Linked DNA regions of Danio rerio. Each later gene encodes a partner of the first gene's protein in a complex. Links are inferred from orthologs where the notes say so. Each region holds a gene or a part of one and is shown in the gene's direction. Other genes may lie near its edges.

Region 1 (6,864 bases):
CAATGGCTGGTGATCAAAAAAAGTTAAAGTCAAGCCCTGTGTATATATGATATACACATACATAAAATCAAAACAATACAAACATTTTTTTTTTATTACATATTTAAATTTATATATAATTTGTGCTATATACACTACCGGTCGAAAGTTTGGGGTCAGTACATTTTTTAAATGTTTTAAAATAAGCCTATCTTGCTCACCAATGATTCATTTATTTAATCAGAAATACAATACAAATTGTAAAATGTTATTGCACTACTGTTCAAAAGTAGTTTATCATTTAATCATTTATTCCAGTGATTTTAAAGATAAGATTTCAGCTTCATTACTCTAGTCTTCAGTCACATAATCCTTCAGAAATCACTCTAAGATTAATTAATTAATGTTGTTGTTGTTATTATTATTATTATTAATGGTAATTGTAATAAAAAAATAATGAATGAAATAATAATTTCATTTGAAACTACATACAATAAGAAAGCAGTTATTTAAAATGTTAATAAATGTTTAACAATTTAACTTTTTTTATTTACATTAAATAAATGCCGCCTTGATGAACATAATCATTTTCTTAAAAAAATTAAAAACATGAAAAAAAAAAAAAAAAAAAAAAAAATATATATATATATATATATATATATATATATATATATATATATATATATATATATATATATATATATATATATATATATATATATATATATATATATTGACCGGTAGTTAACATATAAAATTTATATCTAAATATAAATATTTTATCAAATATATCCATGCATGCATGCATGTGCGTATTACATATACATAATAAATAAATATTTACAATACACACAAATATTATGTCAAAACAGTACCGTTATTTTAAATTAGTTAATGTTTGATCAACACTAATAAAATATAATTCACTCTTTTCAACTGATATTAACAAGCATCTTAAGTAACAAGCAGCATATATACAATATAAAAGATGTAACACAAATGTAAAACTGAAGCGTGTAGTAATGATGCTAATTAATCTGCTTTTTCAATAGTGTGAAAGTATGCTTTTTTTTAATTCTAAAATATTTAGTATAAATTGGAATAATACTTGGCAATAATACTGATTTACGCTATTGTTCATCAAATAAATGCAACAGAAGTGAAATTTAAAAAATCTTACTGAGCCCAAACTTCTGAACTTGTAGTTTTTATACTGATTTATACTGTTGTATTTATACTGTTTTACACAGATTTGTACTGTCAAAATATTGTCATTTCCCTTAATACATAATGCAGACATTTTAAGAAAATCCAGGACTTGGATGAGACATTTTACAGGCGTAATCTAACTGTTACACATTTTGTTTTCATTATTTTTGTGTACAGAAATAATGTCCTAAAATCATAAATATATGATACTATTGTTCTGTTATTGTTATTAATAGTATGATGCTTTTTAGGCAGTATTATATTCTTAAATCTTTGTAATTTAACTGTTTTTGCATAGAATTCCACATAGTCGTCTGTGGCCTGGACTCTGTTATCGCCAGAAGATGGATGAACGGCATGCTTGTATGTCTCATAAACATCCAAGAATCTATTAATAGATATGTTTAGATCTAAAATCCATTCATTCATTAATTAAGTAGAGTGTTTCTATTCATTGAGAAGTACATATAGTCTATGCATTTACCTTTGTCAGCTCTCCCTGCTGATTTATGAAGATGGAGTCCTGGACCCCAGCTCTATTATTCCACTAATAGATGGTGGCACAGAGGGCTTCAAGGGCAATGCCCGGGTCATTCTTCCAGGAATGACAGCCTGCATTGATTGCACTCTGGAGCTCTACCCCCCACAGGTGCATTTTGGGATTTTTTGTGTTAAGTTGAAGTTTCAAAGCTTTTTTGTCATGCTCATTTCTGCGCCCTACACAGATCAACTTCCCGATGTGCACTATAGCGTCTATGCCACGGTTACCCGAACATTGTGTTGAATATGTACGCATGCTGCTGTGGCCCAAAGAAAAGCCCTTTGGAGGTACAATATGAGCTGATTGATTGGAATTTTTGGTTGTATTGCTAGCAGGTAATCTACTGTATTTCAGATATGGCTTTTTTGTTCTTCAGATGGTGTGGTTCTAGATGGAGATGACCCAAAGCACATCCAGTGGGTGTATCAGAAATCTTTGGAGAGAGCGGCTGAGTTCAACATCACTGGGGTCACTTACAGACTCACCCAGGGTGAGTGAGATGCCCTGTTCAATGGATCTTCATCAGGGATTTTTAAAAGCATCTCTTTTATTGACTTTAGGGCTGTAATTGTGCACATATTCATAATGAACGATTTTGATACAGGTCTTAGGGGCTGATCACAATGAACATGTTTTTCCGTGCTAAAACACGAGGCGCACCATATTTTCTTCTTTGTTGACGAGAAAAAAGAAGCGCTTTTTGCTAGGCAACAACTGAATCAGCTGTGTATTGTGCGAGAGTGTTGCTGTGATATTGGTATCATTTTAATATTAAATAATACATTTTATTTGTATATATAATATTTGTTAAGTCATACAGCTCCGGATAACTCAAAACAGCAACAGCTAGTCTTTCCTCTTTCTCCAAAAGTTTCCGTAGTCATCTTGACAACACAAACACTGCTGTCACCTCAACAGAAACCCTGCCTCTGCTTTTATTTAATTGTAGAATGAAAAAGACGCGAGTGATGTAGCACACTTTTTTTCCCTCGGAGTTGACTTTTTCAACTGCAAGTGCACAGCACCTAACGGCAAAAATGCAAGGCGCACAGGGCGCATTAGCAGTGTGCAAAACGCTCATGACCGTTAATAAACTATTCTAAAGATTCAACCCTCAGCGCAAAAAATGCATTCTGTGTGATTGGCCACTATAATTCACATAGACATTATACATAAAGTTAAAATATAACTAGTGGGTGGAGGACACTTTAGTTCATTTATCAGGGTTTTCGAGGGACATTTAGGTCCTATCACAGTTCTATTTTTGTACCCCTTCCCCTTGGCCTTTAAAACCGAGTGTGAAGGGGAAGGCGAAAAGTTAGCCCTAAGAATTGGGACAACGCTACAGCACCTGTACACGTCATCATATCTCTTGCTTCTTATGAGATCGATGATCGTGACTGCTGTAGTTATTCCAGTTGCTGTAGTTTTTGGTATTTATCTTCAGGAGATCACTGAAGGCTTATATTATAATATCAAAACTATCTAATGTGGCAATAAGATCGTAACTGTACTGCGCATTTACACTGTGGCCATATTCGTCAATATAAACACACAAAAAACAATAACATTATAGCAGACACCGTAAAAAGCTCATGCGCAACCAATAGACTCTTCTGAAATGGTATTCGTGTATCATCGAGTGTCAGAATGTTGTGGGATTGCTATACAGGAGGTATGATTATGGATTATATATAGTGAAATTTAGCTGGTTTTATATTAGTATTTTTTTAAAGCATGACGGTAAAACATGAACGCGGTTATGAATATATTAAAAGATGTGCTTGTTTGTTGTAAAAATTCATAATAATGAAAAAATAATAATAATTTGCGTATCTCCTTACGTCCGGGTCTAGCTATCCTGCCCTTGTGGCTGGTGTATTCTGGGAAATTTTCTTACCCCTTGGTTTCGAGTGTGGTCCTGAAAAATCTCCATTCGAAGGGCTATCTACCCCTTAGCCCTACACCTTCAAGCTAAAGAAAATTAGGACACCCCTACCCCTTAATTTAAGGCCTAAATGGCCTAATAAATTATGTTTAATAAACTGTATTTGAAGAGTTCAGATGCAAAATCCCCCAGATGCCATCTGACATTTTCTTTTAAAATGAGAATTTTTTTCAAAAAATGATATTAAAATCATTTGAATTGAATTGAATGAATTGTTGAAATAATTCACTTTAAGTGCAATAAAAACATATTTATAAATGTAAAAGTTAAATAACTGGTCACACAACATATAAACAGGGCCTTAATTTCCAAAGTATTTTGAATGTAGAATCCATGATCAAACAAAAAGTGTTTCAGTGGTAATCAGTATATTGCTGTTTATTGGATAAGGGATTCATAAAGATATTAAAAAATATATCAAAGGCACTCAAAATTATTATTTTTTAAAAAACAACATGACTCGTTCACCTACCCATTTCGGCAAACTTGCCTTTATCAGGATGACAATATTCAGGTCGGTCTAGAGTTCATTTGAATTTTCAGTATGTCACATGACACAATTATATTACTACACAGTACAGAAAATAAAATAACTAAACAATAATGTCAACTCAGCAGTTATTCACAGTACAGTAATGAGAGAGAGAAAAAACAGAATAATTATTACAACATAAACTATACAGCATAATTCTCAAAATTTAGACATACAATACAAGACATATATTGAATACAGCTTCAATAATAATTTATTTTAATTTGCTTTTGCAAAATATGATCAAAACACAGAACCAGCTTTGATTATTTCTTTGAGACTGTTTATGTCTGAGAATAACATTTGCCTTTTTTTGTTTATCAATTTTTCTTTCTTGTCTCTTTGAGACAAGGCTGGGGGCTTGGGGGCTGACCCTTTTTTTTAGTTATTTCATTTCAATATGGATTCTTAAATGATTAGTCCAGGATCAGTCTTTCAGTTTGTGTTATTTCAGTTAAGTCAGGTCTACCACAGAATGGGCGTGGAGCTTCGCGATCAGAGGTAGGAGTGGGCGTGGCTAGCAGAGCAGGGTAAAAGTAGGGGAGCGAACAACTGTTGTCAGTTAGCTCACAAAATGAGACACAAACCGTGAGAAGATGCATGATTTTATAGTTTACAAAGTTAAAATGCAAAGAAATAAACAGTAATTTTATGCCCTGCTACATTTGTAATTTCATATACATAACCACAATTTATACCATTATGAAGATAATCGTGTTCATTTAAACACTATGAGGACTTCTCCCTCAATCTCTGGGTCTGTATGCAGACTCTCTTGCCCTGCCTATTTCAGCCATTAGCCCTGCTGGTAATCTGAAGGATTTAGGTGAACACAGCAGCATGGCGATGTGTCTAAATGTGAACGAACTCCACTGATAAAGGACAATGTTCGCCATTCTCCGCCATACTCGTACTGCTCTCCCGACAAAAATGCTTGCTGCACACAAACAGCTTTGCTGTATCGGCCCTGACAGCCCTGTATTTGATCCCGCCCCAAAAATAATTTTAAACCCGGAAGATGAAATTAGCTGATAATAGCTCAAAATTGTCCAGTTTTTACCACAATTAAAGCTGACAGGTGCTAACATTGTCCTAACTGATGCTCAACACACAAATCTGTTAAAATCTCAAAAAAGTACTCTGGTTTCTTGAACCTTTAATGCTCAAAGAACTTTACTAGATATTATACAGTACACCTCCCAACCAATAATCACAAGCTAGACAAGAAGTGTTTCTGTTAATTTTGATAAGAAATGAGGTCTTTCCAATTCTGTCCACTTTATCAAACAATAAATGCTATTTGGTTTGGCAATATAATGTTCAGGTTCAGTCTTTTTCCAAAAAGTCTAAATCAAGTTCACACAATTGTACTTGTTGATGTAAAATCACATCCTGTTTTTCAGGGGTTGTGAAGCGAATAATTCCTGCTGTGGCTTCTACAAATGCTGTCATTGCTGGTATTCTGACATTACAAATAATCTCTGGTTTTATTGTGCATTTTTTCAGTAAGTTGAGCGATAACTGTAAATACTATTTGCTTTTTTTCCTGCATGTTTCAGCTGCTTGCGCCACAGAGGTTTTCAAAATTGCCACAAGGTAAGTTATAATATAGTTCTTTAAAAAGAGCTTTGAATTCAGCATTTATTGACATATTTATTCTGTTCCCGAACAGCGCTTATGTTCCCTTGAACAACTACCTGGTGTTTAATGATGTCGACGGGCTGTACACATACACCTTTGAAGCAGAAAGAAAGGTTAGTAACTTGAACAGCATATGCTAAATGCTATAAATGTTTGAATGTGGATACAGCTGAAATGTTGTCCATGTTGTATTTGAAGGAGAACTGTTCTGCGTGCAGTCAGGTGCCACAGGACATGCAGTTCACACCGTCAGCTAAACTACAGGAGGTTCTGGACTACCTGACTGAGAACGCCTCTCTGTGAGACACTCACTGAATTAAATGCTTTACAGTTATTTGCATTGAAATCTCTTATTTCTTTATCATTGTCCTACAATATGTGTACCAATGCATAAAGCGTATAAAATAGTAATACTGTAAAACTGTGAACTTAAAATATTTGTAATATACTATATTATACCATATTTTTAATAAACTAAAGTATATAATATTAATCCACTTTAATATATTATATATTAACAGATAAATACACTGAAAATCTGAATTAAAAAATAGTAATTGTATAAGTCTTAGACCTACAAATAAGCTATCACATTTAAAAAAAATAATTATGTCATGTTATAATTAATTATATTAAAATATTACTATGTAATTAATATATTTTCTCTGTTAATTAAATTAATATAATTGATATTACACTATTGCTTACTCATTCAAACTCTTGACAAATTTTTTTCATATTTTTTTATGCTTATAAAGTAAATTAAAATAATAACAAATTATAGCTGGTGTGTTTTGTGTGTATGATCACCCCATATTATCATATATGAAGCTCAATTAATCGAGCATGGCACTAGCAACAACAAGGCTGTGGGAAAGCATAAAAAGGACTACCTTAAATGAATTGAAAGCTTCTTCGGAAACAAGTGTCTGCAAAATGCAGAAATGCAACTGTAAATGTGAGTTAAGTTGTCCCAATTCCAACCTGCATTCTAGTCAATCAATCCACAAGATG
Region 2 (7,600 bases), on another chromosome or scaffold:
AAACTTCTTCATGTCTTTGCAGAAATGGCACTCGCCACACTCCGTCCGCATACACGCCTGACAGCGCCGGCAACGAGTCCGCCGCCGCCGCGCGCCGCCCAGCGCCTTACTGCCAGACATCCCCTCTGCATTCAACTGAACACACACACAATAACATAACACACACCGATCAGATCTGCGCTCTCACAGTACACTGCTCTGCATTCAAAACACACACACACACACACACACACACACAATATTGCCAAACTACTGCCTATATGATCAGTGTGTATGGCAGACTTTTTCTGAGTTCAGTGGAGACCAGTTATCATAAGGCAAGCGTTACTTTAAATATTATGCAAAGATATTAGGGTTATTTATTTTAATGTCGTGCGAGTTACAATACCCAAGCTGATCTTTATAAACACTTTCCTCCAGTCCATATCCAACGCTTGCATTTAATCAACTAATTCCTCCAGCTGAGGGGTGATGAACACGTCTTATTATTCATTACAGATGGGGTCTCTACATTAGAAATGAAAGGTGACATTGAGTGAGTCAGTGAATCTGTTCATCTGTCTGATTCATTCCAGAACAAAGCAAACGACTCAGATAATCACAGACTGATGCTGCGCAGCACTCACTGTACTACCGCTCCGCTATAGCAGTACAGCGCATGTGACGGCTCTCCGCATTGTTATGCTTTAATGCTGCTGTTAAACATCATGAGGACACTGCAACTGTGGAACGAGTGTAATCATAACTACTGCTCAACCATTCTGCAGCAAACACTCTTTACAGAGCACTCCAGCATCTGCAGGTGTGTGTGTGAGAGATGACACATGGCATGATCCTAATATCTGCACATGCATTAGATGATGCTTACTTTGTGTTCAGTTGTTGTGTAGCTGACTGAAGGCTAGATGTAAATGAATGAGAAACACTGGGCTCTCCACTCTTTGAGCTGGTCAGATGTGCACTCCACTGCTAGTCATCCGTGCACTACAGAGTCTGCATGGGGGATTGAAACACCAGCTCAAGCACCAGTTTAACCACAGTATTTTCTCCGCAGCTCTCCTGTAGCGCTGCCGGGGTCACAGATGATCAGGGTTTGAGAAAACACAGGAGTTAGCGTTTACTTCTGCATGTGCTTTCACTGCCAACGACAGCAGATACACTTTCTGTCAAACATCACCCGAGTGCTCTGAGTGTGCCGGCCTTAATCCACAGCAAACCTGACTACATGGAGGATTTCCTCATGTCACAGTACTGGGGATGTAAGACTACAGTGATGGATGACTGAGGTAACTACTGGCACTGTGGTTACCATGGCATTTATACAGTATGTGGGTTACGCTGTCACACACACACACACAGACAGGTGAAATAAGGGCCTAAATGACAGAAGCAGAGCAGAGAACACACGTTCATCACAAGCACAGCTTTACCATCAGTGGATGAACACACACACACACACACACACACAGCAGAGAGAGAGAGAGAGAGAGAGAGAGAGAGAGAGAGAGAGAGAGAGAGAGAGAGAGAGAGAGAGAAAGCGCTAACCAGCTAACCAACCCTCACACAGTCCAGCGGCAGCAGATCGCAGGTCTGAAACACACACACACACACACAAATAAACAGACACGCTAGTTAGCAGGTTAGCAGCTCCATCCAGCAGCGCTACTAACCCTAACCAGCAGCTGAGGGAAGAGAATTTGGCCCAGGGTGGGTTAGTTTAAATGAGCAGTTCTCTCCCTCACACACACACACACACACACACACACACACACACACACACACACACACACACACACAGATGACTAGCTGAGCAGCACACAGGACTGCCGTTAGAGAAGCAGCCTATCTAGTGCCCTCACCTGCTCGTGTGGAGGCGCATACTCTCTGGCCGAGCATCGGACTGTTTCTGCGGCGGAACACAATGAGCTTCCGTGTTTCTGCTGCTCAGCCCTCTCACCGAGCCGTTACCGACACCGAGAGGCTGATCCCGGTCCCTCAGCCCTCCAGCCGCTCAATCCCCGCCGTGTGGATCCGCAGGCCGGTGTTCGGGAGCGCAGCGGCGGATAAACGTGTCTTTTGTTCGCGCTCCGCTATTGTGCTGCTGCGCGTCTGATGGCGGATCCGCGTTCATTCAGCAGCAGACGCGGGAAACGGGCCACAACCTCTGACAGGACGCTGACGCCATCACATGCGATTCTGCTCCCCGAAATCAAATAAATAAATAAATATGGTAAATAAAAAATATGGAGAGTAAAAAAATAGCAAAGCTCCTCCCAGTCCTCTGGTCACCGCCGAACGGCACTATGGGAAATGTGGTCCGCCGGTGCCCTACCCAAAACATCCGCTTTCAGTATCACCGCAGATTTATGATAAAACTGACACAATTATATAATAGCTGTTATTAAAAAAACATTCATCTTGACAACAACAACACTATCAACAATAAGAAGATTTATTAACTTTAAAGTATAAGTTTGCGGTTTCTGTCTAGTTAATTGTGTTCTGAAATCAGCTGAAAGAACAGTGTGTGAACAGAGCTAGCATTTGCGGCTAACACACACACTCACACAGGGAGAGAGAGAGAGAGAGAGAGAGACTGACTCACACACACCGGCTCCCTCTACAGCTGCTGTGAAACACACTCACACACACACACACACACACTCTCTCTCCCTCAGAGCGCAGCTCCCGAACACACCGCGCTGTTTGCTCTGCAGAGGCCGAAGATGATCAAGCTTTTCTCGCTGAAGCAGCAGAAGAAGGACGAGGAGTCAGCCGGCGGGCCGCGCGCGGGGGGCGGCGGGAAGAAGGCGAGCGCGGCCCAGCTGCGGATACAGAAGGGTGAGAGACACACACACACTCTTGCTCTCGCGCACACACATATACACGCACGCAAACACACCGGGCCGGTACCGGAGCTCGCACAGCCGCGGGGCCGCCGACCGGGTCGCTGAGGAGAAACAGCGATAGCGTTAGCATTAGCCGCGCGCTAACAACATCCGGCGCTCCTCGGAGATTCTGGCCCATAAAACAAGACAAAACAGACAGTTTAGACATTCACAGTCCGAGCAGGAGGAGAACACCGATCAACCGTCGAGCTGCGCGGACAACTCTGCGTTTCTGCCCGCGGAGAGGTAAAGTTTAAGTCTCAGTCAAAACACTGAGGCCTACAGACCCGGAGGAGGAGGAGAGCTGGAGCTGTTCATAACCAGAGGAGACCTTCAGCAAAGATCTGCTGTGCTCCACAAACCATCCACACGATATCACACACACAGTAACAGTCAAACTGGAGTGAGTGTGTGTGTGTGTTCATACAGCTGAGCAGAGTCTGGTCCCCATTCAGCAGAAACACCAACTCGGCTGAGGAAACACAGCCGATACTGATGAGGAGAAACGGCTTTAAACACACACACACACACACACACACACACACACACACACACACACACACACACACACACACACACACACACACTGTTTTAACTGTTCCAGGGAAGTGTCCTCAGTTAAGTTAATAAAGCACAGTGTGTTTTCGGCTGTTCTCCATCACTCACGCTTTATTTGCTCCACACCTGTGAGTTACTTCTAATAAACACAAAAGAAGATAGTGTGAAGAATGCTGGAGGAATCTGGCTTTGACTTCCGGTGTTGGTTTTTCCTACTCTGGACCTGAAAGTTTGCAGTGTTGTTCAGATGTGCTGCTTTGAGAGGTGAGCGGTGTGTACATGAGCAGAGCTCTCCTGCGGGACCCTTTAACACTCTTACACACTTTGAGTCTTGTTTTAAGACCCAATCACGACCGCTGTAACAACAATGACGCGGCTTTAATATTTAGATGAGCGTGAACAGAAGCTGAAGATGCAGAGGAACAGCCCCACTGCTTCTGTACAAACCACCGACAGCCAATCAGAATCAGCCTGCGCAGACGAGGATCATGGGACGCTGAGCTCTGGGTGATGGCACTGCCTGTATGATGCTGTAGTTCATGTGTTGTTGTATGACTTGTTAATCTACGCTGCGGCTGACATGGCCACAACACATAAACACATGATGACAAGCCCTGATCAACACAGACGGCTGATGGAGGAGTGTGGAGATCAGCACCTCCTCTGTGTGCTTCTGCTCATCAATAATGACTGTACTGGCCCACACTGATGAAGAACAGCAGGAGATGAAGCAGCCGTGGTGGAGCAGAGAGGTGTGCACGTGTGTTTTTGTGACATATCAGGACACAAATCTGTATATGACAGGTGTAACACGGGTATTACAAAAAGGTGAAATCTGTGGACATTGGTGACGTCCTCATTTCTCCAAAAGCTTCTAAATCCCACTGAGTGAGGGAGAGAGTAAAGCTGCACACCGGCTCCTGTGATGGCTCGGGTTAGGGCAATACTGTATACGGTTTGAACAGTATAAAATTAATGGAAACCTATGTAATGTCCCCGCTTTTCACAAAAACAAGTGTGTGTGTGTGTTAGAGAAAAGCTAATGCTGCTGTTTCTCTTTGTCAGACATCAATGAGCTGAACCTCCCGAAGACCTGCGAGATCGTCTTTCCAGACCAGGACGACCTGCTGAACTTTAAGCTCATCATCTCTCCAGACGAGGTGTGTGTTCTGTGTGCTGAGGAGTGTGTGTGTGTGTGTGTGTGTGTGTGTGTGTGCTGATCTGGGGAAGCGCTGTACTGACCGCTGCTCGTCTTCTTTCCTCAGGGTTTCTATAAAGGAGGGAAGTTCGTCTTCAGTTTTAAGGTGAGCAGCAGAGGGGCGAGCGGCGCGTCCGTGTCCAGCTCTCTCCAGTGTGCTGTCGCCGCTGCACTCACACTGTTCTGCTTGTTTCTGTAGTGTTCTGATCTGTATGTGAGTGATGTTGTGAAACTTCCGTGCGCTGATCTCTGCCGTTGTGGGAAGGTTTTTCTGACGTGTTTCTCCTTTAGGTAGGGCAGGGTTATCCGCACGACCCCCCCAAAGTCAAGTGTGAAACGATGGTTTATCACCCCAACATTGACCTGGAGGGAAACGTCTGTCTAAATATACTGAGGTATGGTGTGCAGCTTTACACTGTTGCTCATCTCCATCTTCTTCCAGCTGAACACATTCATCTCTTAATGCTCAGGCTGTTTCTACATGCATCTCTCATTTCTCTTTGCTATTTGGGCTTATTGGAAGCTGATTAGAATAAAACGTGAGGATCATCTTCTGATAAGATGTACTTTTAGAGGAAAGTGATGTTCATATATGTGGACTGAATGTACATAAACACTGTTTCCTGCCTGTCTGTAATGCATATTTAATATAGGAATATTTTGAACATGTTTTGACTATCAGAGAGTGAAATCAACATTTTTGCCCATTATGGACGGTTAAAACAGTGTTTGGGACACGTCATATGCTGCAGAACAGTTGCAGGATGATTCTGTGTGTCTGTAACAACATATAAAACACTCAGACTATCTTAAACAGACCCTGCAGAGCTCGAGTGATGTAAAAGATCACACTGTGAAATGTGTTGAATGCTGCTCCGCATGAGGGACTGGATGGTGTTCTCCCACCTGATGACTTGGTTTATTAATGATCAGCCCGCTTCATCATGTACACACTGTAAACACACGCTCTTCTTCTGTAATATAAAGGATATTTGGATTATTTGACAGATATTTGAATCGGTGTTCTGGATTTTTCAGTAAATCACTGAAGAGCAGTGAGTGATTAGTCTAATATAAACCACAGGAGGAAGCTGTCCAGCGTGAGGAGAGTACCCTGCAGCAGAACGACACAACACTGCTGCTGAAGAGCTTTATTAGTAAATGAGTTGCGATGGTGTAACTCTGCAGTTCACACACAACTTTACTGTATTTCAGAGAAGACTGGAAACCGGTGCTGACCATTAACTCCATCATATACGGACTACAGTACCTGTTCCTCGTAAGTGTTGATCAGTGTTCTGGCTCAGTTCATAATGACTATCACTAGTCCTAGCTTAATTAAAGAGGATCTATTGTGTGTGTGTGTGTGTGTATCTCCAGCAGCCTCTAATGCTCATCATGAGTGAACTGTGTTTATTATAATCAGACTTGATGCAGAAACACTGTGATTGACATTCTCTCTTTGTACACGTCATCAGATGGGGAAAGCCCCGCCCACTAGTGCCCATCTCTCCATCTCGTTAGCATATCCAGCAGCCCTGAGTGAGAAGCAGCCGTCTGTCCATTAGCCAGTAGAGTGTTTGAGCTGCTGAAGATGATGTCAGCATAGACTAAGAGGATTATAGATGTGGAGTTCTAGATGAACAGAAACAGGAGCCACATAGACTGACAGAAGCATCAACACACACTCACACTGCAGCACACACACACTGCTGTTTTACATCTGTCACTATGCTGACATCTGTAGCTCCGCCCTCTTCTGAAAAGATTACAATATCATTTACATTTAAAGCGACAGTCACCAAATTAGGATCAAAGCCTGAAAGGGTCAGTTTCAGAGAACTGGAGAACATTACCTGTGGGATATTCAGCTCAAACACACACACACACACACACACACACACACTACAGACAGCAGACATGCGTTTACAGCTCATATAAAGGGGCGGAACAGCTCTCCTTTAACCCTGCCCTGTCCTCTTAGACATTTTGCAGTTGTTGTTGTATAGGGTGTAAGGGCAGTGTGTGTGTGTGTGTGTGTGTGTGTGTGTGTGTGTGTGTGTGTGTGTGTGTGTGTGTGTGTGTTATTGATCGGTATTATGATGTGCCAGCTGTATTGGTGAAGTGTGTGTGTGTGCTTCTGTTCCCGCAGGAGCCCAATCCTGAAGACCCGCTGAATAAAGAGGCAGCAGAGGTTCTGCAGACGAACCGGCGACTCTTCGAGCAGAACGTCCAGCGGTCGCTGCGGGGCGGATACGTGGGCGCCACCTACTTCGAGCGCTGCCTGAAATAGTCCCGCGCCCGCCGGCCCTCACGTCCGAGAATGCATTTATCGTTTACATGCGCTGAGATGTACTGACCGACACACTGACCGCTCTCGGGTGTGCGGGACGGTGGCGAGCGTTCACAGGCTGGTCAGTGGTTGTTGCTCAGAGAATTCAGTCGTATTTCGCCACTATGCTGGTACCCACTGTTTATTTTTTGCTGAGATTCACATGCTAACTCATCCTCCACTCAACATGAGCGTGCGCGGGGCAGACACACACACACACACACACACACACACACACACACTCACACACACTTCTCTATTCCATCACCCAGCTTGAGGACTGATTGGTTTGGGCTTGAGACGGCCGCTGCCCCGCGCCGCACACATCAGCCGTGTTCAGTCGTCCTCATGTCTCTGTCTGCCAGATTCTCTCAGTATCGGTTGTGTTTAGCGCTGCATTTGACCAATTCCTGATCACATTTATAAATTGATGGCCGCTGCATTGATCGCCGGCGGTGCACAGGCGGCCGCTGGGATATGTGTGCTGATTGGCTGTTGGAGAGCGGGGGGGCGGGTCTGCAGGACGGGGCGGGTTAGCGAGGGTTGCGTAATGTTACAATTCTGTTGTGTATATTAAATCCCAGTTGTTCACGATGACTGCAATATGAATTATGTTAAATAAAA
Region 3 (7,533 bases), on another chromosome or scaffold:
GGAGAAAGCACCTCAAAACTCAATAAAATCTGTGAAGAGGTTAAAGAACTCATAAATAAATGCTTCATGAGTTGTTGCTCAGTAAAAGCATTTTATAAATATTTGATATGAGGCCACCAATTTGATTTATGAAAAATTATTTTAATTGATTATTTTTTCAGAACTACAGCTCCTGACTGCAAACTGTTCATTCATTCATTCCTTTATTCATTTTTTTTGCTCTCAGTTCTATGCAGCCCTGCATCCTTTTAGGAAAGCTTATATTGGGTCCAGTTCCCTCCAAGTCTACAAGAACATCTACGATTCTATTTCATATGCAGATAAAGAGTGGTAAGTGTGTGTTTGTTTTTGCAACCCCATATTTATATTTTTAATTTTATTATTTATTTTTTATTAATTTAATTATTTTTAAATTATTTAATTATTTTTAATTAACCATTTTTGTTTTATTTTCCAAATTTTAACCTTGATTTATGGCAATATATTAAGTTTATTTTAAATTAAATTTTTAAATTTAATTTAATTGCAAATCTCCAAGTAAAGCATTTGTGTGATTATGTGACATTATGTGAAGTTTTCAGTAATTTTATTCTTCCATTGAGTATGCCCTCTGTGTTAAACATTAAGCTTTGCCATCACAAGAACAACATTACTAATTTTATTTGTGGATAAAGAGTGGTAAGTTTGTGTTTAATTTTTGTAACCCTATATTTATTTTTTAATTTTTATTTTATGATTTTATTTTTATTATTTATTTATTTATTTAATTAATTATTTTTTTATTATTTTTATTAAATTATTTTATTTTATTTTCCAAATTTTAACCTTGATTTATGGCAATATCTAAAGTTTATTTTTAAATTATATTAAATTAAATTAAATTGCAAATCTGCAAGTAAAGCATGTAACATTATGTAAATTTTTCAGTAATTTTATTCTTCCATTGAGTATGCCCTCTGTGTTAAACATTAAGCTTTGCAATCACAAGAACAATATTACTAATTTTATATGTGAATAAAGAGTGGTAAGTGTGCGTTTTTTTTTTATATTTAATATTTTTAATTTTATTTTTATTATTTTATATTTTTAATTTTATTTTCAAAATTTTAACTTTGATTTATGGCAATAAAGTAAGTTAATTTTAAATAGATTTTTAAAAATTTAATTTAATTAAAGCATGTAACATTATGTAAAGTTTACAGTAATTTTATTGTTCCATTAAGTTTGCCCTCTGTGTTAAACAATACATTTTGCCATCACAAAAACCATATTACTAATTTAATTAAACTTATTTTACTTATTTTTACTAGTTTAATTAAACTAATTAAACTAAACTTTGAGTGCTGAGAAAAAATCTGATGCAAATGTAGCAAAGCTTTATTATTATTCATTTCAATTGCGGAAAACTACAGTACAAGTAAATATTAATAATATTGGGCCTAAACACTTAGTTATGCAAAATTTATTTCATGCATGATGTAAAATAAACACTTATATTCACAGTTGAGTTCCTGTGTATTTTTTTCACAGGCATGAATGTCTGAAGAGTAGGAGGATTATGCCATTGTCAAAGTTCATTGGCTTGGTTGAAACTTTCTCTACTTATCAAGGTTTCCTGGAAAAGGATCCTGTTAAGGCCAAGAAACTGTCAAAGACCATCACTGACAGGTAAAAGTAAATATTTAACTAGTGCTGGCCAAGGATTAATCACATACAAAATAAAAGTTTGTTTTGACATAATATATGTGTGTGTATTATATATATTTACAATGTATTACACAAACATAAAAACAAAACTATACAAAACAATTTGTTATCATTCATTCATTCATTCATTTTCTAATCGGCTTAGTCCCTTTATTCATCAGGGGTCGCCACAGCAGAATGAACTGCCAACAACAACATATGTTTTACACTCGGATGCCCTTTCAGCTGCAACCCAGTACTTGGAAAAATCCATACACACTCATTCACACACATACACCACAGCCAATTTAGCTTATTCAATTCACCTATAGCGCATGTCTTTGGTAGAAACCAGAGCACCCGGAGGTAACCAACGCCAACTCAGGGAGAACATGCAAACTCCACACAGAAAATGCCAACTGACCCAGCTAGGAATTGAAGCATCAACCTTCTTGGTGTGAGATGACAGCGCTACCCACTGCGCCACTGCACTGCCAATTTGTATAATACACACATATTTTATCTAAATATAAATAAACATTTAGTCAAATATATTCATGCATGTCTGTATTTATAGACACAATTAAAATACACAGAACACACATTTAAGTCATGTCGAAACAAACTTTTATTTTGGATGAGATTAATAATGATTAATTTTTGCCCAGCATTATATGTACTTTAGGGAACAGATGATCACAGATGCACGGTTTACTTCATTTATTTAAACAAATAAATTGATTATCGAAATATGAAATGAGAATTAGTAAACCCCTTTTCTTTTTAAAATATTTCCCAAATGATGTTTAACAGAGCAGGGAAATTTTTCACAGTATGTCTGATAATATATTTTTTTTCTGGAGAAAGTCTTATTTGTTTTATTTCAGCGAGAATAAAAGCAGTTTTTAGTTTAATTATTAGCCCTTTTAAGCTATATATTTTCCCGATAGTCTACAGAACAAACCATCATTAAACAATAACTTACCTTATTACACAACCTGCCTAGTTAACCTAATTAACCTAGTTAAGCCTTTAAAAGTGACTTTAATCTGTATAGAAGTGTCTTGAAAAATATCTAGTCAAATATTATTTACTGTCATCATGACAAAGATAAAATAAATCAGTTATTAGAGACAAGTTATTAAAACTATTATGTTTAGAAATGCTTAAAAAAATCTTCTCTCCGTTAACATTAAACAGAAATTGGGGAAAAATAAACGGGGTTTAATAATTCTGGGGGTTTAATAATTCTGACTTCAACTGTGTGTTTGTGTGTATATATATATATATATATATATATATATATATATATATATATATATATATATATATATATATATATATATATATATATATATATATATATATATATATATTCCGTATGTATATATATATATGAATTGCCTTTTAAAAATAATTATTTAATATGATTCTAAAATTAGTTTTTTTTTTCAGGTTGTTGGAAGCAATGGGAGCCTCGTCGACTGACACAGAATTAACAGTGATAGTAAAATATTTTTATATATTAGCCTCTAAACCGCGTAAATCCTGACATGATCCTTCAAACCAACAGCTCCATCGAACAGCATCAAAGCATGTTTTGTATCTCTGCTCTGAAGCGTTTGAACAATAAACACTTCACTTAACACCACGCTTGGATTTACTGTGTCATGGGTTTAATATTGCAAAGAACTCCATAAAAGAATTAGCTAAAGTGCTGTAAAGTTAAGTGCCTCAAAATCTCATTTGGGCTTTGTACAAAATAAGGGCGGAATTTTATTTCTGGCGTTTGATTCCATACGGAACTCTTATTAAATGAACGGAACAACTTCCGGCTTCTAAACCGCTCAGGCAGCGGAAATCATTAAACTCGGCGGAACTAATCCTCGCATCGTTCCACTCAATTTTGTTTCTTTTATCGACGTTCAGCATATTTTATCTTGAAGTTGTTTTGGGGGGAAAACGTGCAAAATTCACGTCGGGTGTCCCGATTATGGTGTAAACAGGGCAGTTCAGTCACTCTGACAGCGGCAGGTAAGTGCATTATCGATCGCAGCCGAGTTATTTCACATATTTAGAGTTGTGTTATGAATGTAAATACCTTTTAGACAATATATTTAATTGTGTACGAAAATATTTAGCTGAATCCTGGTATAAATTATGCCCTGAGCGATGAGGATTAGATTGTAGCTGCTAGTAAACATGTTAGCAAAATAACGCCTGGTGACACTAACTGGTGAATATGAAAGTTTGAATGGATTTAAGTCATGCTAAGTTATCTGCACATTGAGTTCTTATTATAGACCATACAACATAGAAGTTGTGTTATAGTTTTAATATTTCATTAAAGGACGTTTTGTAATGGCATTAGAATGAGGGTAACAGATGGTAATAACATGCTACTTTTATTTATACAGCTGTGCTGACAGAACGCTCTATTCATCTACTATGGTATTACCGTGGTATTCCAAGGCATTTAAAATGAGCCATCGCTTTATTTCAGTACATGTTTAGAAAGAAGCTTTATACTTTATTTGTAGTAAGTTACAGTGGTATGGTATTACTGTGAAGCCAATGACATGCCAATACAATTCGCATTAGAGATTTCGTACCTTTGTATTTATTCCAGTATAATAACATACAGTTGAAGAATTATTAGTCCCCCTGTATCTTTTCTTCCCCAATTTCTGTTGAACAGAGAAACTTTTTTTCAACACATTTCTAAACAATAGGAAACAACTCATCTCTATTTAACTTATTTCTTTTGTATTTTCCATGATGACAGTACATACTATTTTACTAGAGAATTTTCAAGACACTAGTATTAAGGGTCTAATAAGTTTAACCTTAAATTGATTTTTTAAATATTAAAAACTGCTTTTATTCTAGCAGAAATACTACAAATAAGACTTACTCCAGAAGAAAAAAAAACATCAGACATACTGTGAACATTTGCTTGCTCTGTTAAACATCATTTGGGAAATATTTAAAAATGAAAAACAAATTCAAAGGGGGCTAATAAGTCAGATTTCAACAGCAACTTTATTAAAACATGTGTTTATAACACCCATATTTGTTGTTATTCAAATATAGCAGTAGTAGTGTTATTATTCTACAAACAAAGTTATAATGGTTTACAAATGATATTAAAGGACAGTCTGTCATGTATAATAACATCATAGGTCTTTTGAGCTTAATCGTATAACAAGAATGCTAAAGCTAAAATATGTTCAATGCAAAGAACTTAGTTACTGTCTTAAACAATAGCTGTCACAACAAATTATTAACATCAATAAATATTTCATATTTCAAAGTTTAAACTAATAATGCAAAATCAGTGTAATGTTTACCAGTCTTGTTTTTGTATCTAGACTCTATATCATAGGGTTACCAATCTCGGTCCTGGAGGGCCCGTGTCCATGCAGGGTTTAGCTCCAACTTGCTTCAAAACACATGCCTGTATGTTTTGAGTATGGATAATAAGACCTTGATTAGCTTGTGCAGGTGTGTTTGATTAGGGTTGGAGCTAAGATCTACAGGACACCGGCCCTCCAGGAACAGGTTTGGTGACCCCTGCTCTATAATATTAAAATATAAAAGTTATGTAGTTTGTAGTTAGCATCACTATAGTTTTGCTATGTTTTTAATGTTTTTATGACACTTTTAATATAGATTTACTTGTTATTCATTTTTTAGGTTTTTATGGTAATATTTTACAGTAAGTATTGCTTACTGTAAACTTTTTCTGTTACCTACATTAGTTAACTACCTTTTAGAAGAATAACTGAAAAAAAGGAGAAAAAATGTGAAAAGGAGTGCTGTTTTCATTTTAGTTGGGTAAGTTCAACTTAACGAACGTTAGAAATGTTTCTAAGATAAAGTTTAAGTTATAATAATTATAATAAAGCGGATATATATGTTTTTTAATACTTTCACTTGTGTTTGGTGTTCACTGATGGTCATTGTGTGTATTTGTGTTCCTCACAGGTGTGTTAGGGTGTGTATGTTGGTCTGCGGGGATGCTGACGTTAGCCAGTAAGCTGAAGAGGGAGGAGGGCGTAAGGGCCGGCCGGACCCCTGCAGGCTCTAACGATGCCGCTCATAGAGTGTCCATCAGAGATCGACTGCTCATCAAAGGTATGAAAAAAACACTGCCTGCTGGGATCATGACACACTGGTTTGCGTCTAGTGGTTCTGACCATTTTTAGGTCTGCCCTGATTTCACAGTCAAAACATGTAAAGATGGACAGGTTATCTGATGAAACTTCTGGAAAATACTTGAATTTCAGACATGGATTCAAGGCCTGGAAAGTAAGTAAAGACAAACATAGGTCCGTTTAAGTGCTTGAATTAAATTTTAAATTAATTTGCTTATGGTTTTTTTTCAACCCAGTTGTTGAATACAGAAAGAAAAAAACTGAGAAATTCTTAAATAAAAATATTGTAAAATAACACAGACAAATAATGCACATTTTATCGATATATCAGAAACTGCCTTTGAATATTACCAGTAGGGTTGGCCCGATAGACGATGCCTTCGTCCATTGCTGATGGCCGATAGACAACATGATGCTGAGGCGGCATCGCGATCCTCCACTCCCCGTTGCAAACCTGCTCAAGAAAAATACACACTCAGCCCCCGTTAACACTCATACGTCTTAGTTTTAAAATGGCATTTTAGAACAAAAATGATTGTTTACCTAGCATTTCTAAACTGCCCTCCGTCCGTTGAAAATTCACATCACCTGACCACACACAGACACAGCCACACACACTGTCATGCACTCATCTGAGCTCCAGAGAGCACTGCACGTTGGACAGTTTATCAATGATGTACCTACCGCTGGATCAGGTCTTACTATCTTGTCTCTATTTAATGACTCTTCTGTCTTTTGAATCTATCAGTTAACGTGTCACACCGTCAGTACACTGCTTCAATCTTTCGCTTTCACACTTGAACTTAGTAATTTTAGTGAAAACCTCAGATACTGTTGGTTGGTTGTTGTTGGTTTTGCACCTTTTTTACAGACCAAGTTTGTCGACGTGATTATAACGACAGATCACTCATGCCAGAGTCCTGGGGAAAAGTGATCATTTGTGTTTAAGTTATCTTTATTTATTTATGATTTGTTTTTGGGTTAAACAAATACCATGTGGGTCAGGTAGTTGAAGCGGTTGACCACAAATAATTAATTTGTTTTGAATAATTTAATTAATCATGAATAATTAATTTACCTCCGCCTATGACGACGATGCCATCGTCCATCGCAATATTTTACATTAGACATTGTACGATTCCAAATTGGTCGACATCGCCCAACCCTAATTACCAGTATTGAATTCAACACGTTTTATTGAAGTTCTTTGAGCATGACTTTAAAACGGTCAAGCGTTTTTTAAATTACTCTGACATGTATAACGTAACTATTAAGTGTAAGTGAATTGTTAAATGTTGAGGACTTTAATGACGCTGTATATGCTGGGATATGATTTACAAAGGTGCTTGATATAAAATTAATGGTGCTTTAAAAAGACCTTGAAAGTCACTGAATCTGCTGTTCATGGGGTGGGTGCGAACCCTTCTTTTTACAGAGAAAAACATTAACAAAGCAAAAATAAAAGAAAACTGATTACATGAAATATGTAGTCTTTCATATAGGAGGAGGATAAACTGTTTTTTTTGCTCACCACAATAGTGCTTTTCTGACTGTGCCTGATGTTATTGTCCATTCAAACCACCTGCAATATTGTTTGTTCAAACACTGCTTTAATTCCAGGTTAAGGAATGAGATGCTTTGCCAGACATATTCGGTGTGAAATGATACCATGTTAGAATGTTATGACAGG
Region 4 (6,864 bases), on another chromosome or scaffold:
TATAGTTTATTGATGTATTAAATATACATTTTCAAAGTAAACAGATGTTTAAAACAAACTAAATTGCTAAAGCATTATAAAGTACAATAGGTAACAATTTACAATAAACGAATCTTTAGTAAATGTTAAATAATAGATTAAAATCAGTAGTGAGAAAAAACAGATATATTACAGTTACTATGCTAATAATAGTTAAAAATACAAATGAAAAGTATTAGTTCTAAATTCCATTTAAAACAACATATCAGATTTTGACTGATTTAGACACATAATTAGTAATTAAATAAGGTATTAGCATTACCTAAGAATAGGGCTGCACAATATATTGTTTCGGCATCGATATCGCAACGTGATCATTCACAATTGTCACATCGTAGGATCTGCAATGTTGACTCTGGATTATAATTCAGCATTTGAATGTGTTTTGAGGCCTGTGACTGTGTAAGGTTTTTTTAAAGCATTCGGGCAAAGTAATTTGTACCATTATTAATCTTAATTACGAGTCATTTTATTGAATTATTTATTCAACAAAGACTATACAATATTATTTTACATTTTACTAGACAATTACTCTATCTGCATACTTGTGAGACGCCCCAGATAACAATAAAAATAATTGTTTATTTAATTCATATCTTTTTCTTTATTGTATTCATCTAGGCTTGTAGATTGTTTTATGCTGATGCACTTACGGGATTATCCCAACTAATCAACTAAAATGATCAATTCATTCCAAACAGAATTATTTAAGTCATCTGGTGGAATTGTATTCATATTGCAATATATATCACAGAATAACAAAATATTGCAATGATTTTTCAAATATCATCAGCCATAAGATTAATAAAAGCTTTTGTAGTTTTTGTTTTAGTGAGTTTAGTTAAATTAACTAATGTTACCTACTGGAGACTTGTAATAATAATAATAATAATAATAATAGTAGTTCATTTTATTTATAAATGGCACCTTTCTTGACCCCCAAGGTCACCTTAAAATAAGCATCAACAGACACACCAAAGCAAATTAATAAAACAATTAATAAAAAATAAAACAATGGCAGACAAAATTTTAAATACATGAAAGGAGTTGAAGCATAAACACATCGAAGTGTAAAATAACATGGTAAAGGATAGTCATAGGAAAGCCTGCTTTAAGGGTCACGAAACATCAAAACTCATTTTTGAGCTGTTGACAGTCGCATATGTTTCCCACATTGCTAAAAACACTATTAGGACACATATTTTACAGAAAAAGTGAAAATTGGTTGTTTTTCCATTTTTTTGAGCAAATTCGTTCTTCCGATTTAAAACAAATTTTTTAAGCTGCGTCACAGCGATTAGATCCTTATGTGTAATCCAGCGTGTAGACTGGCTGTCTGTACCTGTAAGTGCATCGTGACGTCTTTGAGTGTGCTGCATTCATTCATGAGAAAGATTTTGTTTAAACGAATCAGCGTGCTCTATTGTGTATGCGGTGCAACTTCATTATTATGCATGATAGCTTCGAAGACCGTTTTTACCTGTACAGTGTTCAGACGGCAGAGAGAGATGCCACATTGTGTTGCCAAAACAAGTGGAAGAGGAAGAATTGTTTGGAGACGCAGGTTGTCAGTATTGCTTTTATAATTTGCTGCATCAAAGGTTTTGTTTTCATTTTCCCGCTATGAGAGTGCAACTGGACTCGCGTGAGGATTACAGTGCACGTAATCCACCCTGCTGAAACAGGGGGGTTTCGTGGCCCTTTAAAAAGATGGGTCTTAAGACGAGATTTAAAAGTGTTAAGACTGTCACTGCTCCTTTGGTCTAGGGGAAGCGAGTTCCATAGTCGAGAAGTCGATGCGTTTACTATTAGAGTACAATAACCCTAAACATAGTCATCAAATTTTCAATCAATATTTTAGCGTGTAATAGAACAGATTAATGAAGCTAATTTACTAATTAATGCCTAGTTCAGACTGCGTGATTTTAGCCCCGATTTTGGCTCACCGACAGGTTTTGAGAAATCGCCGACAAATGCCTGAAATCACAGGCAAATCGCTGCTCGTGCACGTGAGTGACAATCACACAGTATGAATGATCAAAGACGCGATCTGAGAGAATCGTCGATGAGTCGCCGATGCCTGTGAGATATTTGGCGTGCTAAATATCTGGAGCTATCGGCGATTCAAATCATGCCGTGTGAATTGAGTTTTGACTGAAAATAACATCAGCCATCGCCTACAGCCAATGAGAGAGCAGCTTTCACTTGTGTGTGCGTGTGTGTGTACCTGCTGCTGGCCAGCGGGAGGCTGGGGGAGAAGTTAAAAGCGCTCTTTTTCGGTTTATTTGGACCCACGAAATGGAGGAAAAACTAGTGGAGCAACCGTGTCTGTTTGACGTTTCATACAGAAAGAAATTAGTTTATTAGCAACTTAAGTTGAGGAGAAATGGCTAATTCCCTTTAAACCCAGGTGAGCAAACATGTACATGTTCTACCCCATTAAAGGCTTCTTTCTCATTACGTAGTTAATAACAAAAGATATACTACTTGTTTTTGGCTGTGAGACGTAGTTTGGACGAAGTTGTCGGCGATTCTCCCTATAGTAAAGTCATGCAATGTGAATGTTTATGTCGCCGAACCATCTTGCAGTGTAAACAAAGCAGCGACGAAACGCCAGCCCAGATAGTCATGCAGTGTGAAAACATCTGTGACACGACTAGTTTGAAAATCATGCAGTCTGAACTCGGCATAAGGCACCAAGCATTTAGCTCTGTTATGAACAACACTGAAAATACGATTTGAATAATCTTAAAAAGCACTCAAAAACTTGAAATAATAAATAATTATTTACCATATTTTTACATGCCAACGATAACAATATTGTGCATGTTCACTGTCATGGAATCTGAATTCTTTAATATCCAGATTTGCCTACTGCATTTATGAAATTCATGGTTAAAGGAACAGAATAATTATTTTTCCCATTTTTGAGCATTGGTAGTTTTCTCCACATCCAACCTCTTTGTTTAATACCTGTGTTGTGTGGTGTTTTGTTGTCCCACAGGTAAGAACGCGGCTTTCCTCCGAGTGGTGCGCTGCAGGTCTCTGGCTGACGAGTACAGTGTGGACACTTTTAATAAAGATGAAATCAGTACGTGTTCTTTACGGCCTTGTGGTTTATCTCAGCGTGTAAATGTTATGCTCACTGTTCAGGACTGTTTAGATGGATTTACTAACAGGGAATCTGATGGTTCATTGTTGTGTACATCCATGCTTGGGTGGTGTTAAAGCTGTTGTTTGTGTCTCCATAGCATCCTGTATGGACAGTCCAGACAGTGAGATGGTTCTGTACCTTATGCTCCGCTCAGTCGACCGCTTCTATCAGCAACACTCCCGCTACCCAGGTCAGAAGTAATCAGAGTAATCAGAACAGACACTTATTGGTCATTACAGATCTCTTAAAGGGTTTCAAGTAATTGTGTTTTCACAGCTATTACTGTTTTTCTGTGTTTTCTTTTTTAAACAAGCACATTTAACTGACCACCCCTGAATATTAATGAAAATTATTTCATTAATTTTTGTGTCATTTCAAACCTGTATTGATTTTATTGATTTTTTAAATTTTTTGCAGAATATTAAAAAAATCTATATATTTATGGAATGTATAAAAAAAAAAACATTGGTCACACTTTACAATAAAGCTTCTAATCTTACTGCATTTTTTACATGAACTAATATTGAACAATACTTGTGCAGCATTTATTAATCATAGTTTACGTAAACTACAGAAGAACTTTATTTCCACTATGTTCATTGCTTGTTCATATTAGTAAATACATTAACTAATGCAATCTTATTGTAAAGTGTGACCATAACAGCAGCTGCAATAAATGATCTGTAAATATATCAAAATACCTATTTTGAAGAAAATAAAACATGGCTGTTGTAGCCCAAAGTTTGACTAATGAATTGAGTCAAAATGAAGCTCTCTAGTGGCAGCATGGTTGCTCAGTGGTTAGCCTCACAGCAAGAAGGTCGCTGATTTAAGTCCTGGCTGGGTCAGTTGGCATTTCTGTGTGAAGTTTGCATGTTCCCCCCGTGTTCGCGTGGGTTTCCTCCGTGTGCGCCGCAAAGTCCAAAGACCTGCGCTATAGGGGAATTAAATTAACTAGATTGTCCGTAGTGTATGTGTGTGTGAATGAGAGAGTGTGTAGGTGTTTTCTAGTACTGGGTTGAACTGGAAGGGCATAATATATTGTGGAAGGTCTGCATAAAACATATTCCGAAATAGTTTGCGCTTCATTCCACTGTGATGACCTCTGAAATAAAGTCGAAGGAAAATGAATGAAGATCTCTAAAGCTACTTTTTGTAAATGTAAACAAACAATGACTTAAATTTTCATTTTAAGGTTAATTACTTAATTTGAGTTGTAATATGCAATTAATTTACCACTAACAAATACATACTGCAACTGTTTATCGTTTTGATGCAGTGTTTAGAGTCTTATCTTCTGACAGCTCTTATACTGTACATATATTCACATTATTTCTACATTGATAATATGACGAAATGTTTCCTGAGTATCAGTTTCTTCCTGAGAATAAGTATATTCAAATGATTTCTGCAGGAACATGTGACACTTGACTGAAGTACTGTTGCAGTTTTGTTGAGCATGAGACAGGCAGACTTAATATCTTATCCTTGAACAAAACGTTTATACAGTGGTGTGTTTATGAACTGTCACACTGATATTAGAGTATAAAGTTTTTTTTTTTCTTTTTTCTCAGGTGTCTACAATTATCAGGTGGAGGAAGACATTAACAAGCTGAAGCTGTGTGTAAACAGTCTCCTGCAGGAGTACAGTCTTAACGTCAATGTAAAAGATGACTACATCCATGAGTTGTAAGTTTAAGCTGACAGTTAAGCCTGTTTGGCCTAAATCTGTACTAGCCAAATATTTACACTGGAATTAGTTTTGTAATACTGATGATAAAGAGGCCCTCATTCTGCTGCTCCTTCTGTTTATAGTCAAATAACAAGTGTAAATGTTATTTTCATGTCTTCCAGCTGCCGATATGGAGCTGCTGAGCCACACACAGTCGCAGCTTTTCTGGGAGGTCAGTGTTCATGCTTATTCACTCACTGTACTTTCACATCCCATACTATAATTTATATTATAAGGATGAGAAATCAAATATTTATTGCTGGAATTCCTTGTATAATTCCTATAGCTCAAGTAGTAGAGCATTTCACTAACAAATGCCAAAGGTGTGGGTTTGATTCCCAAGGAAAGCAATAACAAAAAAGTAAGTGTACCTTCTTGGGCTGGGCGATTTGACCTAAAATCAAAATCTTGATTAATTAAACATTTATTATGATTAATAAACGATTATTTTATTTATTTATTTATTTATTGCCGTCATAGTTCACTGACAGGGTTTGTACAATAAATCACAAGTAAAAGATTTTTGAATGAAGGGTGCATTACTTGATTCTAAAATAACTGAAGGAAACACACACTATCTACTATCCATGATTATTTATTGAACATCAACGTTAAACAATCAAAATTAAAACACACATTGCCTAAAGCCAAAAGTAACTTTTTTCTCATATAAAAGTGAACATAAATTACTTGCACTTTTGGAAACAAAATTAGTTTCAATGCTTTCAAAACAAGAAAATAAGCAGCATCTCTTCTAAATAAATAACCCTTGTATATCCTGTAAATAATATTTTTAAACAGTGCGTTTCTTGAATCTTCTGTAAAAAAAAAAAAACATTTTAATTTAAGTAATCATTTAAATTTAATGGAAAATATGCTATCTCAAGGCATCTCTGGTGCAGCTTCCAATCAACGTCATTGTAGTGCAAACTTGCGACATATACTGTAGTTCCTTTTTTTTTCGAGAGGTGCGCAGTTATGCGACTGTGTGAAGGCTGCACCAGACCAGACCAGACGTTCGACGCAGAAGTATAAATCAGCCTAAGCTGAGATGGGTCACATGGCTCCACATCTGGTTGGGAAAGTAACGTAGACTAACCATGTTCCGTACACAATGATGTTTTGTACAGATTACATTTTAACGCCAATGTCTGCATAAATTCTTACGGGTCATAGACAAGCTATATATCTGTGTAATCTTTATTTGTCAATCTTTCACCCCCAAACACATCAGAGAGACTCCTACCAAATGTTTCTGATAAAATTCAAAAAGTTTGCTATGTCCACCTAATGCACTTGAAAATAGACAGTGGGCAAGCTAAAGGGGTGAGTGTTGCTTTGGATAGGAGACATTTAGAGCAACGACGATATGCATTTGCATGTCATTTATGCATCACACAATATTATAGTCTTTAGGAAAGGAATATTATATTATCACAAATTGTTAAATAAATTATCTTTTGTTAAATAAATGCTTTGAAATGGGGATATTTAAATGTCAGTTGTGGGGGGGTGATTGTATGGCGCAACTCCATCAGAGAGAGCCTGAGAGACAAACACTGTTTTGAATAATCTTTGTGCAGTGATGATGTTTATATTCATTAAAGGTCATTTAAATTAGCGTCAATTTGCATCTGTTACAAACTCGTGATGTTAAACTAGGGATTGGACTAAATACCATTTATATTGTGATGTTTTGTGTAATATGGGAGAAGAACCATGCATCTAGAAAAATACTGCCAAAAAGAGAATTTATTATACAAAAATCAAAGACGAACAGAAAATAATAATGATAAAGAACAATAAAATAGATAACAACAAATAACAGTCAAATTATTATTATTTTATTTATTTTTTAAAAGTTTCTAAAGTTTACTAGTTGATGTAAGGATGTACGTCACGTGACATCTACCTCTCCAAATTCCCTGGGGAACACAAA

What was found.
Region 2: the proteins of uba3 (region 1) and si:ch1073-205c8.3 are in contact, whole or in part, in a crystal structure (PDB 2NVU), measured with the Homo sapiens proteins. The link is inferred for Danio rerio from reciprocal best matches to the Homo sapiens genes UBA3 and UBE2M. Residues at the interface, in NP_003959.3 of Homo sapiens: His53, Pro54, Asp55, Glu61, Ser62, Phe65, Cys70, Gln149, Asn152, Asp153, Thr154, Arg157, Gln158, Phe159, His160, Ile170, Arg173, Trp174, Ser181, Leu182, Leu183, Asn184, Pro192, Ile195, Val196, Pro197, Leu214, Met217, Arg254, Met255; in NP_003960.1 of Homo sapiens: Lys3, Leu4, Phe5, Ser6, Leu7, Lys8, Gln9, Gln10, Lys11, Lys12, Glu15, Lys21, Gly22, Ser23, Ser24, Lys25, Lys26, Ala27, Gln31, Leu32, Gln35, Lys36, Ile38, Asn39, Glu40, Phe51, Ser52, Asp53, Pro54, Asp55.
Region 3: the proteins of uba3 (region 1) and ube2f are in contact, whole or in part, in a crystal structure (PDB 3FN1), measured with the Homo sapiens proteins. The link is inferred for Danio rerio from reciprocal best matches to the Homo sapiens genes UBA3 and UBE2F. Residues at the interface, in NP_003959.3 of Homo sapiens: Ala401, Thr403, Thr405, Leu406, Glu407, Gly408, Asn410, Arg411, Thr412, Ser417, Val418, Thr419, Ser420, Ile421, Arg424, Thr425, Gln442, Glu443, Ala445, Ala447, Asp448, Val449, Thr451, Pro452, Gln453, Thr454, Leu456; in NP_001265234.1 of Homo sapiens: Thr27, Arg28, Arg29, Val30, Asp34, Lys35, Val38, Lys39, Val41, Ala42, Glu45, Val54, His55, Phe56, Pro57, Asp58, Pro59, Asn60, Leu62.
Region 4: the proteins of uba3 (region 1) and nae1 are in contact, whole or in part, in a crystal structure (PDB 3DBR), measured with the Homo sapiens proteins. The link is inferred for Danio rerio from reciprocal best matches to the Homo sapiens genes UBA3 and NAE1. Residues at the interface, in NP_003959.3 of Homo sapiens: Trp34, Glu35, Gly36, Arg37, Trp38, Asn39, His40, Lys43, Phe44, Glu46, Arg47, Ser48, Gly49, Pro50, Phe51, Thr52, Phe56, Glu83, Lys86, Asn87, Leu90, Ser91, Val106, Ser107, Leu109, Asn110, Arg111, Phe113, Leu114, Arg116; in NP_003896.1 of Homo sapiens: Glu10, Gln11, Lys12, Tyr13, Asp14, Arg15, Gln16, Leu17, Arg18, Leu19, Trp20, Asp22, Glu44, Lys47, Asn48, Leu51, Pro52, Gly67, Glu68, Ala70, Gly71, Asn72, Asn73, Phe74, Phe75, Gln77, Arg78, Ile81, Phe92, Glu95.

Annotation. Positions count from the first base shown.
Region 1 is NC_133186.1:19,922,687-19,929,550, reverse strand, and holds part of uba3 (NEDD8-activating enzyme E1 catalytic subunit), read left to right. Parts: intron 1-1,275; coding exon 1,276-1,319; intron 1,320-1,486; coding exon 1,487-1,551; intron 1,552-1,681; coding exon 1,682-1,837; intron 1,838-1,913; coding exon 1,914-2,016; intron 2,017-2,105; coding exon 2,106-2,219; intron 2,220-5,612; coding exon 5,613-5,666; intron 5,667-5,768; coding exon 5,769-5,805; intron 5,806-5,881; coding exon 5,882-5,963; intron 5,964-6,048; coding exon 6,049-6,149; intron 6,150-6,864. UniProt on the Homo sapiens protein: Catalytic subunit of the dimeric UBA3-NAE1 E1 enzyme. E1 activates NEDD8 by first adenylating its C-terminal glycine residue with ATP, thereafter linking this residue to the side chain of the catalytic cysteine, yielding a NEDD8-UBA3 thioester and free AMP.
Region 2 is NC_133194.1:51,591,410-51,599,009, forward strand, and holds the start of si:ch1073-205c8.3 (NEDD8-conjugating enzyme Ubc12), read left to right. Parts: upstream 1-2,628; 5' UTR 2,629-2,726; coding exon 2,727-2,841; intron 2,842-4,511; coding exon 4,512-4,606; intron 4,607-4,711; coding exon 4,712-4,750; intron 4,751-4,935; coding exon 4,936-5,039; intron 5,040-5,859; coding exon 5,860-5,923; intron 5,924-6,796; coding exon 6,797-6,937; 3' UTR 6,938-7,600. Other genes in the region: zgc:158376 (F-box/LRR-repeat protein 19), read right to left, coding at 1-120.
Region 3 is NC_133176.1:8,052,977-8,060,509, forward strand, and holds the start of ube2f (NEDD8-conjugating enzyme UBE2F), read left to right. Parts: upstream 1-3,487; 5' UTR 3,488-3,720; intron 3,721-5,382; 5' UTR 5,383-5,523; intron 5,524-5,673; 5' UTR 5,674-5,705; coding exon 5,706-5,823; intron 5,824-7,533. Other genes in the region: si:ch211-93g23.2 (uncharacterized protein), read left to right, coding at 1-39, 227-330, 1,531-1,668, 3,142-3,238. UniProt on the Homo sapiens protein: Accepts the ubiquitin-like protein NEDD8 from the UBA3-NAE1 E1 complex and catalyzes its covalent attachment to other proteins. Together with the E3 ubiquitin ligase RNF7/RBX2, specifically neddylates cullin-5 (CUL5).
Region 4 is NC_133182.1:45,351,484-45,358,347, reverse strand, and holds part of nae1 (NEDD8-activating enzyme E1 regulatory subunit), read left to right. Parts: intron 1-3,043; coding exon 3,044-3,130; intron 3,131-3,290; coding exon 3,291-3,383; intron 3,384-4,767; coding exon 4,768-4,882; intron 4,883-5,047; coding exon 5,048-5,097; intron 5,098-6,864. UniProt on the Homo sapiens protein: Regulatory subunit of the dimeric UBA3-NAE1 E1 enzyme. E1 activates NEDD8 by first adenylating its C-terminal glycine residue with ATP, thereafter linking this residue to the side chain of the catalytic cysteine, yielding a NEDD8-UBA3 thioester and free AMP.